2 linked regions of the Schizosaccharomyces pombe genome follow. The gene in region 2 interacts genetically with the main gene of each other region. Each region holds a gene or a part of one and is shown on either strand. Other genes may lie near its edges. The genes, in order: phx1 and pdc202.

Evidence for each region.
Region 1: of pdc202 (region 2) and phx1, changing one suppresses a phenotype caused by changing the other (phenotypic suppression), as found in Schizosaccharomyces pombe (one study listed by BioGRID).

What each region holds. Positions count from the first base shown.
Region 1 is NC_003424.3:2,451,029-2,458,515, reverse strand, and holds phx1 (DNA-binding transcription factor, stationary phase-specific Phx1), read left to right. Parts: upstream 1-1,997; 5' UTR 1,998-2,968; coding exon 2,969-5,797; 3' UTR 5,798-6,723; downstream 6,724-7,487. Other genes in the region: trp2 (tryptophan synthase), read left to right, coding at 1-858. UniProt on the Schizosaccharomyces pombe protein: Trnascription factor that regulates the expression of the homocitrate synthase (HCS) lys4.
Region 2 is NC_003424.3:583,585-588,118, reverse strand, and holds pdc202 (pyruvate decarboxylase), read right to left. Parts: upstream 2,523-4,534; coding exon 807-2,522; 3' UTR 624-806; downstream 1-623. Other genes in the region: ysp2 (peptidase family M17 cytoplasmic leucyl aminopeptidase yspII (LAP yspII)), read right to left, coding at 4,086-4,534.

The sequences.
Region 1 (7,487 bases), 1.9 Mb from region 2:
ACTGCTATCTGTGCCGCTAAATTTGGTATGAAATGTACTATCTACATGGGTGCAGAAGATTGTCGTCGTCAAGCACTCAACGTTTTTCGCATCCGTCTTTTGGGAGCTGAAGTCGTTCCGGTTACTTCAGGTACACAGACCCTTCGTGATGCTGTTAACGAAGCTTTGAAGGCGTGGGTCGAACAAATAGACACCACTCATTATTTAATTGGATCTGCAATTGGCCCTCATCCATTCCCTACCATTGTTAAAACTTTCCAAAGTGTCATTGGCGAGGAAACGAAAGCGCAAATGCAAGAGAAGCGTAAAAAACTTCCTGATGCAGTTGTTGCTTGTGTTGGTGGTGGATCCAATTCGATTGGAATGTTTTCTCCCTTCAAAGCCGATAAAAGTGTAATGATGTTGGGTTGTGAAGCTGGTGGTGATGGTGTAGATACCCCCAAACATAGTGCTACATTGACTATGGGAAAAGTTGGTGTATTTCATGGAGTTCGAACATATGTTCTGCAACGCGAAGATGGACAAATTCAAGATACTCACTCTATATCTGCTGGATTGGATTATCCAGGTGTGGGACCCGAATTATCTGAACTTAAATATACCAATCGCGCAGAGTTTATCGCTGTCACTGATGCTCAATGTTTAGAAGGATTCCGCGCTCTATGTCATCTTGAAGGTATCATTCCCGCTTTGGAATCTTCTCATGCTGTGTATGGTGGAATGGAGCTTGCTAAAAAGTTACCTAAAGATAAGGATATTGTGATCACCATTTCAGGTCGTGGTGACAAGGATGTTCAAAGCGTAGCTGAACAACTTCCTATTTTAGGTCCTAAAATTGGATGGGACCTTCGCTTTTAAGCAATGTTCTACTCACGATTTTCTGATTTATATTAAGGCTCCGTAAACTTAAGCGGAGTTGCGATCTATAGATATACAAGCATCGCATGCGATTAAACTTTTTTATACCAAAACATATGTGTATTTCTTTTTATCTATAAATATCATTTCAATTTTGCTTCTACTATTTACTAGCCTTAAATAGCGTTGTAGTCATGTAATAACCTGTACATAATACTGTACTTATTTACCTAATAAAGGTTTTCTGTGGATTTAATTTCTTAGGCTAATTTTTCAAAGGCTTAAGAGAATTATGTGTATGCTGAAGAAGAACATTCAACAAAGCGGTTTTCTTTAGTCTATGATTTTGAGAATCATGTCCTATTTACACTACAATGCAAGTGCAAAAAATGTTTTAAAACAATTTATCAGCACGAGCAAGATGTCGTAGTATTTTCAATTTATATGGTTTTGGCTTTTTAGAGTCGCGACATAGTCTATTAACATAAGCTTTAATCTTTGGTATATTAGCAAATCTTCCAGATTGAAGTTAGCAGTTTATGGAGAGAAAATAAAATTCTTTCTGTATATTCGCCTAATAAGACCACTCAAGTCTTTAGCACTGAATAATAAAAAGTGTCACAAATCTTTGAACTATGGTAAAACTCCCAATTACAATTACTTAAGTTCGCACTCCTAAAACAGCATTACCCGTAGAATAAATTGAAAAAAAAGTATAAAATCAAACAAGTGGTACAGATCAAATTTTTAAAAATTTAGTAATGTTTCTATGTTTTTATATTACAATATTCAGATAGGTAGTATTCTCGCTTACAGTTTAGACAGTAAATGTAACATTAGTGTTTCTCCACAATTCCCCACATAGTTAATAGTAAAGTTGAGGACAAAATTATGATTTATCTATATATTCTATGAATTACATATGACCCTAGATGTACCCATTCGACAAAAGTATCCTTCAAATAATAGGTCTTAAAAACAAAGACTTGCTCATTAGAAGCAATCGATCGTTCATTCACTTTACTAAAGGATTTACCAATATGTATTGGGGGCGTCGTTTCTAAGGCAAGGTAGTACGTTAGAGTTCGTAATATAATTGTTCGGTTAGTTAAGTGAAGAGCGATATGTGAATTAAAACCACCACATCAACCATATAAAAACTACATTATTTATGAAACCATAAGCATTCTGTTTAATTCATTAAATTAGGACAGAAATTAATTAGGCTCTTGCAAGGATCAAATTGGAGTGAAATTGCATCTCTTTACGATATTTCAAGTTGTGTTTTATTGCATTAGATTTAGAGGAGCAATCAGCAACGATCTATTAGCAGTGAACGTTAACGAATATCTCAATTACATTCGGATCTTTAATTATTTGGTTTATTTATTTTTTTAATAACAAAAAAGGGAAAGAAAAATTGGGGAAAGAGAAGGGAATAATTATATTGTTAATTTTGCAATATTTTTTATCATTTAATTAGCAAACTTTTATTATTTAATTTTTAGGCAAATTTGACAACTCATCTCTTCATTTAGTCAATTTTTATTTGTTTTGACATTTGTGAGATATCCAGGGATCGATAGCCTCTGTCTACAAAGGGTCGTGTCTCTTAGTTTTCGTCAATCAGTTTCTTTCAAGATCTAGAAGGCGTACTAATTATTTCTACTTGGAGACTTTAAAGCTTGGGTATTGCTTGTCCACTGTGCTTATGTATCTGAACATAGCTACAATCTCTGCTACAAAAGCTAAAGAGAGAAGTCCCCTCCAAGAAGGGATCAAATTTATTTCGTTAGGGTTTTCTTCTGGTCAAACTTTTTTTTGGATAGGATAAGTTTTTAATTACAATAAATTCAGCGGCTGGGGTTTCATAAGTGCCCCATATTTCGAGGGTACCAGGTTCACGTTTTTTGCGTCTCCTCAAGTACTCAGAGATTCCACGGAATTTCTTTCAATTTAATTTTTTTTACATCATTTTATTTCTCTGAGCTTTCTTTAATTAATCTTCCAAAGTCACCATTCAATTTGCATTTCTTGGCATACTTTTTGAAGCAAATTTTTATTTCTCATAAGGATTTTATTTTCATTTCATTTTATTTCTAAGAACAATATGCGTAGTTATTCGAACCCAGAAAATGGTGGTCAAATTAATGACAATATTAATTATTCTGAGAAGCGACCTACAATGCTCCCGGAGAATTTGTCCTTGAGCAACTATGACATGGATTCTTTTCTCGGTCAGTTTCCATCTGATAATAACATGCAATTACCCCATTCAACGTATGAGCAGCATCTTCAAGGGGAACAGCAAAATCCTACCAATCCTAATTATTTTCCTCCTGAATTTGACGAAAACAAAGTAGATTGGAAACAGGAGAAACCCAAACCGGATGCACCGAGTTTTGCAGATAATAATTCATTTGATAATGTGAATAGTTCGAAATTGACGAATCCATCGCCAGTTCAACCTAATATTGTTAAATCTGAGTCGGAACCTGCTAATTCAAAGCAAAATGAAGTTGTTGAAGCTACATCTGTTGAGAAAGCTAAGGAGAATGTCGCTCACGAAAGTGGTACTCCTGAGAGCGGCGGATCTACTTCTGCGCCAAAGAGCAAAAAACAGCGCCTTACTGCAGATCAACTTGCTTATTTGCTTCGGGAATTCTCCAAAGATACTAATCCACCTCCAGCTATAAGGGAAAAAATTGGACGCGAGTTGAATATTCCGGAACGTAGCGTAACTATTTGGTTTCAAAACAGAAGAGCAAAATCAAAGCTCATTTCAAGACGTCAAGAAGAAGAAAGACAAAGGATCCTTCGTGAGCAGAGAGAATTGGATTCCTTAAATCAAAAAGTTTCACAAGCATTTGCGCACGAAGTATTGTCTACTTCACCTACCAGTCCCTACGTTGGGGGAATAGCAGCTAATAGGCAGTATGCGAACACGTTATTGCCTAAACCAACTAGAAAAACAGGAAACTTTTATATGAAAAGTGGACCTATGCAATCTTCCATGGAGCCATGCATAGCAGAGTCAGACATTCCGATCCGTCAGTCTCTTTCTAGTACATACTACAATAGTCTAAGTCCAAATGCCGTTCCTGTCTCAAGTCAAAGGAAATACTCTGCCTCTTCTTATTCCGCAATCCCAAATGCTATGTCGGTATCAAATCAAGCTTTCGACGTAGAATCTCCACCCTCTTCGTATGCTACTCCACTTACAGGCATCCGTATGCCTCAACCAGAGTCAGATCTTTACTCCTATCCTAGAGAAGTGAGCCCTAGTTCTGGGGGTTACAGAATGTTCGGTCATTCCAAGCCTTCATCATACAAAGCATCAGGGCCTGTTCGTCCTCCTAATATGGCAACAGGGCACATGCGTACTTCTTCAGAACCGACCTCATATGATTCGGAATTTTACTACTTTTCTTGTACATTACTAGTAATTGGTTTATGGAAAAGACTACGAGCCTCTCCTCAGGATTTAATGTGTTTCTACTCTCCGCCAAAGAAATTATTTGCATATTTGATTCAATTCCAGGGGATTCAGTATCGTATTGAATATTCTTTTTTTGTCATTGAGTCGATACACGTTTTTAGAGTAGAGGAGCCCTTGTTAAATGAGTTGAGTGCAACTGCGTCTAGTCGAGATAAACCGGCACCAAATGAATATTGGCTTCAAATGGATATTCAGCTGAGTGTTCCACCAGTATTTCACATGATCACTTCCGAAGGACAGGGAAATTGTACGGATTTTACTGAGGGTAATCAGGCTTCGGAAGTTTTATTACATTCTTTGATGGGAAGAGCTACTAGCATGTTTCAAATGCTCGATCGGGTTCGAAGGGCATCGCCAGAGTTGGGGTCTGTAATCCGCCTTCAAAAAGGTCTTAATCCTCACCAATTTTTGGACCCTCAATGGGCTAATCAACTTCCTAGACAACCTGATAGCTCTGTATTTGATCATCAAGGAAGAAACCCTCCTATCCAGGGATTGTCTCATGACACTTCTTCTGAATATGGCAATAAAAGCCAGTTTAAAAGGCTTCGTAGCACTTCAACCCCTGCTAGACAGGATTTGGCTCAGCATCTTTTACCTCCGAAAACTAATACTGAAGGGCTTATGCATGCTCAATCTGTGTCTCCTATTACTCAAGCAATGAAATCTGCTAATGTTTTGGAAGGAAGTTCTACAAGACTAAACTCTTATGAGCCTTCAGTTTCATCTGCTTATCCGCACCATAATTTAGCGCTTAATCTTGATAACACGCAGTTTGGTGAGCTTGGCACATCTAATATATCATATCCTTTATCGGCACCATCCGATGTCGGCTCACTTCCTCGAGCATCCAATTCACCAAGCCGACCTGTGATGCATCCAAATACACAAGGTATTAACACGGAAATAAAAGACATGGCAGCGCAGTTTCCCAATTCACAAACTGGTGGTCTCACTCCAAATTCATGGTCAATGAACACAAACGTATCCGTCCCATTTACGACTCAAAACAGAGAATTTGGCGGCATTGGCTCTTCTTCAATTTCCACCACGATGAATGCACCAAGTCAACAGTTATCTCAGGTACCATTTGGAGATGTCTCCCTTGCTACTGAGAACTCTGTCCCGTCGTATGGATTTGAAGTACCATCTGAAGAGTCTGTTTACGCGCAAGCCCGTACAAATTCATCTGTTTCTGCTGGGGTTGCTCCTCGGTTATTCATTCAAACACCGTCTATACCTTTAGCATCATCTGCTGGACAGGATAGTAATTTAATTGAGAAAAGTAGTAGCGGTGGTGTGTATGCGTCGCAACCCGGAGCTTCGGGCTACTTATCTCATGACCAAAGTGGTAGTCCATTTGAGGATGTTTACTCTCCTTCTGCTGGTATAGATTTTCAGAAACTTCGTGGTCAACAATTTTCTCCGGACATGCAGTAAATTTTGTGATATGATGATTAACGGTACAATTGAAACTCGCTTGAAGCTTGCTTATTTTCGTTTTCTTTTGATAACGAGAAGATGTTTAACTCTTGAAAATTACATGCCTCGTTTGTATTTTTATGACCGCTTACGTTTTTATAAATTCATCAATATCTCTAAAAGGTTTAAAGGATTAATTTTTGATCTATATTATACAAGGTATTCTTGAATAATGTTTAATTTGGTGATAAAAATACAATTCCATGGAAAAAAATTGTGCTTCCATGTATTATTGTCTGGGAAGAACTTTGATGCGAAAAAAAAAATAAAAGACCTCTACAAGGCACTTCATATACGATTATGTATGGTTTATGTTTTTTTTACTTCTTTAATTTTATTTTATTTTATGTTCCAAAGCGATAGGAGGTATTACATATTGTTGTATCGTGTATGCAATACTTAATGATCCTAGCATTTCATTTGAAGAAACTCCGTCAATGATCGAATCCAAATTCCACTGAAAAAATGTAATGGAGTTTGAACAGTATCGTACCCACGAGCGTGAGTTGGATTATTGAGTTTTTGCATGTTTAGCCGACACATATTTTTTTGGCGACTTTAAACTTTTTTATTTACCATTTATTTCTCTTTTTAAGTTATGAATAATTTCTTTTTCCTCATGTATATTATTACTTTATTTTCATGTTTTTTTTTTTATTAATTTGACATTTAGGACGATTATTATTTTCGTTATTTCTCCTTTCCAGCGGGAACGTTTCAGCATCACAGTTTTTGCACATAAACTATAATAATTTTGAAAGCATTATGAGTTAATTTAGTAGAATTAGATTCTTTGAAACATAATCCATCAACGAAGCTGTCCGCCTTTTTTTTAAGAGGTGCATGCCATATATAGTCATTTTCTGTGTAAATAAACATTTCACTAGTAGATAATTTTTTGAGATGAGCAAAGAATTGAATGAACCAAAGTAATAATTGTTAAGATATAATATTAGAAAATTTATTTTAAAGATGTATATTAGAATGTATTTAGACTAAGCTCGTAATATATATTTTTTTCATTTTCTTAAAATTTATTTTGTTTTATTATAAGAATGAATTTATGTTTCATGAATGGAGAATATCAATAAAAAAATTGTTTGGAGGTGACAAATATATAAGATTTGCTTTTAATATCTATAAAATAATTTTTATCAGTTAGTACAAAAGTATAGGACAAAAATATGAACAATGATTTCGGGCGCCTACTTTGAAGGTGATGTTGTTTTTTGCTGATGCCTATAAGCTGAAGCTAAAGCAGCACACACCAGATTAGATAGATGATTGATTATACTGAAACACTCTAAGATACGGAAATTCTCCGAACAATAAGAAAGCCAAAAAAGAGAAAAAGAAGTGAAAGAAACGCCTTCCATATATCGATTGAACATTGCGACCAATCGATCAACTAACAAGAACAAGTAAGCCAGCCCAGCCCTTCTTCTTCCACTGTTTACCGAATAATGAAGAACAATATGTAGCAAGCCAGTAAATAGCGATACTTACTGCAATATATAACCACATCACATATTTAGCGCATGACGTAGTTTACTTCTTCAAACTACACTATAGTTTTGGACATGAAACGGTTGAACGTCAATATAGTGTCTTAATGACGAGAATGCACGTATTCTTGAACCTGTCATTA
Region 2 (4,534 bases):
ATAATTATTAGTAGTCGGTATTTTAGGAATCACTAGTATGCCGAAATTACGAAACTAACCGATCAACACAGCCTCTTCCTATACTTACACAATTCTTGGAATTAGTAGCAAGAATTAAAAGAAAAAGCCAACGAATATTAACCAAAATATATTTTTTCAAGGTACCAAACGCCACGAAATGCAGCTTACCTTCCTATGCGAAAGAATAGAGCGCTGAAGTATGGTGTGGTGTAGAGTGTCAAAGTCAGAAGCTGCGTTGCAGAACCATTTATAAACAACAACGCAAACCGTTCGTCCGTTGCTGTGATAGAGTGATACATAATATCAGTCAATTGCCTTTACCCGCTACATTACCTAGGAAATCGTAATAAACGAGCGTTATAATTTCATTACGTTACAAAACCACTGTATTAAATAGTAGAATCACCCAATTTTTGTAAAACTAATAAATTCTTAGCATATCACAATGTGAATGGAACGGTAGCTCCTATGTAAGAAATAAGAATGTTAAAGTTGGCTTTTAAGCAGTTTAGCAATTTTTCTGCGAAACTAGTAAGTAGATGCAAGGAAACTGGTTTCCACATTGTTTGGATTAACTCTACCTTTTCATTCATTGCTTCCAAGGTATTGTTTGTTTACGTACACCCTAACTTGACTTGAAAAATTTTAAACTAAAAAGTTGCTTTAAACATAAATTTAATAACTAATCATTATACTAAAAGACTATATGAATTGAATGGGCTTATCATAAAAAACATATAAATCAAAGGAAACTTTGTTTGCCAATTCCACTCTCAATAGCTTGCTCATTGCTTATTGATCTTAGACGTCAACTTGGCTTGCTCAACTAGGACACGAGGTGCATCCAACATAGGCATTACAAGCTCAACTACTTGAATGACATCTGCATTTGCAAACTCCTTGTCGCTAAACAACTTTTCAACGTCAGTAGGAGTTTTAACACAGTAAGTGCGGAAGTGGTTTTCAGCAGCTCCGAAAAACTTGGGAATCTGTTGGTAGCCCCATTTAGTGTTAATTTCGTTATAGCTAGCATGCAAACCATGAATTAAACGCTCAATGGTGTAACCGTCGTTGTTAATTATGAAAATAATTGGTTTGAGGTTATGGCGAATGCAGGTTGAAATCTCTGTAATCGTCAGTTGTAAGGATCCATCACCTACTACAAGAATGGTACGACGATCGGGCTCTTTAGAATCGTGGACGGCCAAAACAGCACCAAACATTGCACCAACGGAGTATCCAATAGATCCCCATAATACCTGGGAAATGGCTGTTACATCCTTTGGAAACCTGCAATCAAGGACACCAAAGTTTGCAGTTCCAGTCTCGGTGATCAAAACATCTCGGGGCTTCAAAAATTCACTAAATTTAGGCCAAAACCAGCAATGAGTAATCTCGTTGGAAGAATATCCTTCCGCATGCTTAGGCTTGATGTTGTAGCCAATGGTAGGAGCAGCCTTGGAATGACACATAGAAGCATCAAGTACTTTCAACAGTTTGCGAAGAATATACTTCATGGCTACATTTGGATAAAGAGCATATCGAATGCGCATGTGGTCTGAATGAAACTCAACGGCATTCTTTTGGCTGAGGTGGTAAGAGAAGGAACCCGTGTTAAAGTCTGATTTGAGAGCACCGATGGATAGCAACAGATCAGTGGATTCAATTCTGTCTTTAACTTCAGGATCTGAAATTGAACCAACATAAACGCCGTCAAAAAATTGCGAAGTTTCGTCAATTGCAGATTTACCCATGGGAGTTACATATGTAGGGAAATGGGTCAATTTAATCAGCTCATGTACTTCTGGAACGACACGATGTCTTACAGCACAAGCGTCAATTAAAATCACTGGTTTCTTTGCATTGACAACCATTTCCGAGATATGATTGATGACTTCTTGCTCAACTGCTGGATCGTTAGTATCCTCCTCGAGCTTTAGTCTTTTCCCAAGATTTGATGAAGATGCTTTGAAGTAGCCAGCATCAGAAGGAATACCAATGTAAACAGGCCTAGCCTTTTTATAACAAATCGACAAGGCTTCATCGATCTTTTCAGCTGCATCGTTTCCGTTATCGATCATTATACTGTAGGCAGAAACTTTCTTAAACATATCCATGAAAGTGCGAAAGTCTCCATCTCCTAAAGTATGATGAAGCAAAGCTCCAGTATCTTGCACCTTTGTGGAAGGCATTCCAACAATATGAACTACTGGGACATGCTCCGCATAAGAACCTGCCACTCCATTAATAGCGGAAAGCTCTCCCACGCCGAACGTTGTAACAATGGCTGAAAGACCATTAACACGAGCATAACCATCAGCGGCATAAGCACCATTCAACTCATTGGTATTGCCAACCCAACGAAATTTCTCATCTCCAACTTTCTCAATTAAGTCAAGTAGAGCTAAATTGAAATCTCCTGGAACACCAAGAATGGACTTGACCCCTAATTGTTCAAGCCTTTTGAATAGATATTCACCGACTAAAATATCCCCACTCATGTTTGATAATGCAATTTAATGTGCTTGTGAAATATACTCAACAAATTACAATGCTGAGTGTGTATTCCTTTTTCGCAAGATAATTATCTGTTGAATAACCAGCAGATACTTTCTGAACTTAAAGGAACAAGTGAGTTTGCTAGCTAAAAGTTAAAAAGATATAACCTTAGATGCTTCAGAGCAGGGTTACTCTGGCTATATAAGCAACATTCCGTCATCAATGATACATTGAGTTAATGTGGATTATTCTTTTTGAAACTCTTGGTACGAAACCACTCGTCAGAGGCTATTTCATTATTCGACTCAAATCTCACTATGTGCCACCCGGGAAAACGTCAACTATGCAATTTGCAATTATTGATTTAAGGCATCGTCAGCAGTTTATACTGGACGATTCTTCGGTTAGTGTAAGCAACTGCAGAAATTATTATGAAAACTCTACATCACCGAACGTTCCGTCTCGAAATTCTTAATTGTATCTATACCAAAGACAAAATTGATACCTTTTACATTATGTCTAAACTGAATTTAATGACTATTCCTTATTTCAAGCTTATTAATTTACATGCTTTATTGGTTTGTACCATGTTTGTTTGGATACTTAACATTGAGAGCTGAATGTGAAATATTGTTTCGTCCGTAAAAGTAAGGCGTACCTCATGGTTACGAGACCATGTGACCACTCAAAAATAGAATCCTCATTATTATAAAGTATCCAAAAGTCTTTGAACATATTGCTGTAATTATGATTTCACATGAATATTAACGACATTTTTCAACCGAGTTCACGATTTGCCTGACATCTAGCAATATCGATTTCACAATTGATGGACCATTTATAGGCTTCTTGCTTTAATTCTGATTATTTTTTTCATTGTTATATTGCTACAGTGTTAAGCTTCAACTTGTTGTTTTTCTGTTTATCATATTGATTTGCAAATTGTAACGCTCCTTGCTATCCTCAATAGTTGCCATGAGCCAAACGGTATAGCAAGAAGTGATCTCCAGCACTGGTTCCCCCACCCCCACATGATGTGTACATTTAAGAGGGCAGGTAACGCTAATAAATAGTATGATAAATAATACAAAATTACTGTTATAAAAATTTCAACAGATATCTAAAAAAAATTGATTTGATCATATCCCAAAGTATTGTAAACTCGCACAGGAGAATATTCTACCTTTAAAGATTTAGTTTTGTATTATGATTTTGTTTGACAAAAGTAATAGTCATGAGTAAATTGATTACTACATTTAATAAACAAATCTATATTCAAAATAGAAAAAAAAAATTCGCTACTTCGAAAGTGAAATTTAACAACATGAGACTTCAACCGAATTGATTTTATTTTTAAAGGAAACAGAACCAGAGCCATCAGAAAGACTCGGTCCTTACAACCGTTATGAACGGTTGTGGAAAACAGTATTAAAAAGAATAAAATCATGATAGCTACATATCATTGACATACACTTAACAAGGACATTGAAAAATGAGATTGGTGTAATCAACAGTAAATAAGTAAAAACATAAAGTTTGCACATATAGCCAAGAAAATAAATAAGCTAATACTTGCGAGCGACTTCAATAATAGTGCGAACTGGGCGTCCGCTCATGCCGTCACAATCCCAAGAATTAAGCTGCTTATCCATAACTCCGGCAATGTCTAAATGAGCAAAAGACAAATCTTTCTGGGCTAAGAAGCATTTAATAAAGGCAGCCGCTGTACAACAACCACCACCGGCACGACTAACATTGCACAAATCAGCATTTGAAGAACTTGTAAGTTGCTTGAGGTAAGCCTCGTGAAATGGCATACGCCAGAAAAGGTCTCCAGCATCATGGGAAGCAGTTTCAAGATTCTTCCACAACTCTTCTCCTTGAACAAATGCACCAGTAAATACATTACCGAGGGCTACTAGCATAGCACCAGTTAATGTGCTGGCTTCAATCACAGCCTTGGTCTTATACTGAGAAGAGACATAGTGAACTGCATCGGCAAGAATAAGACGAC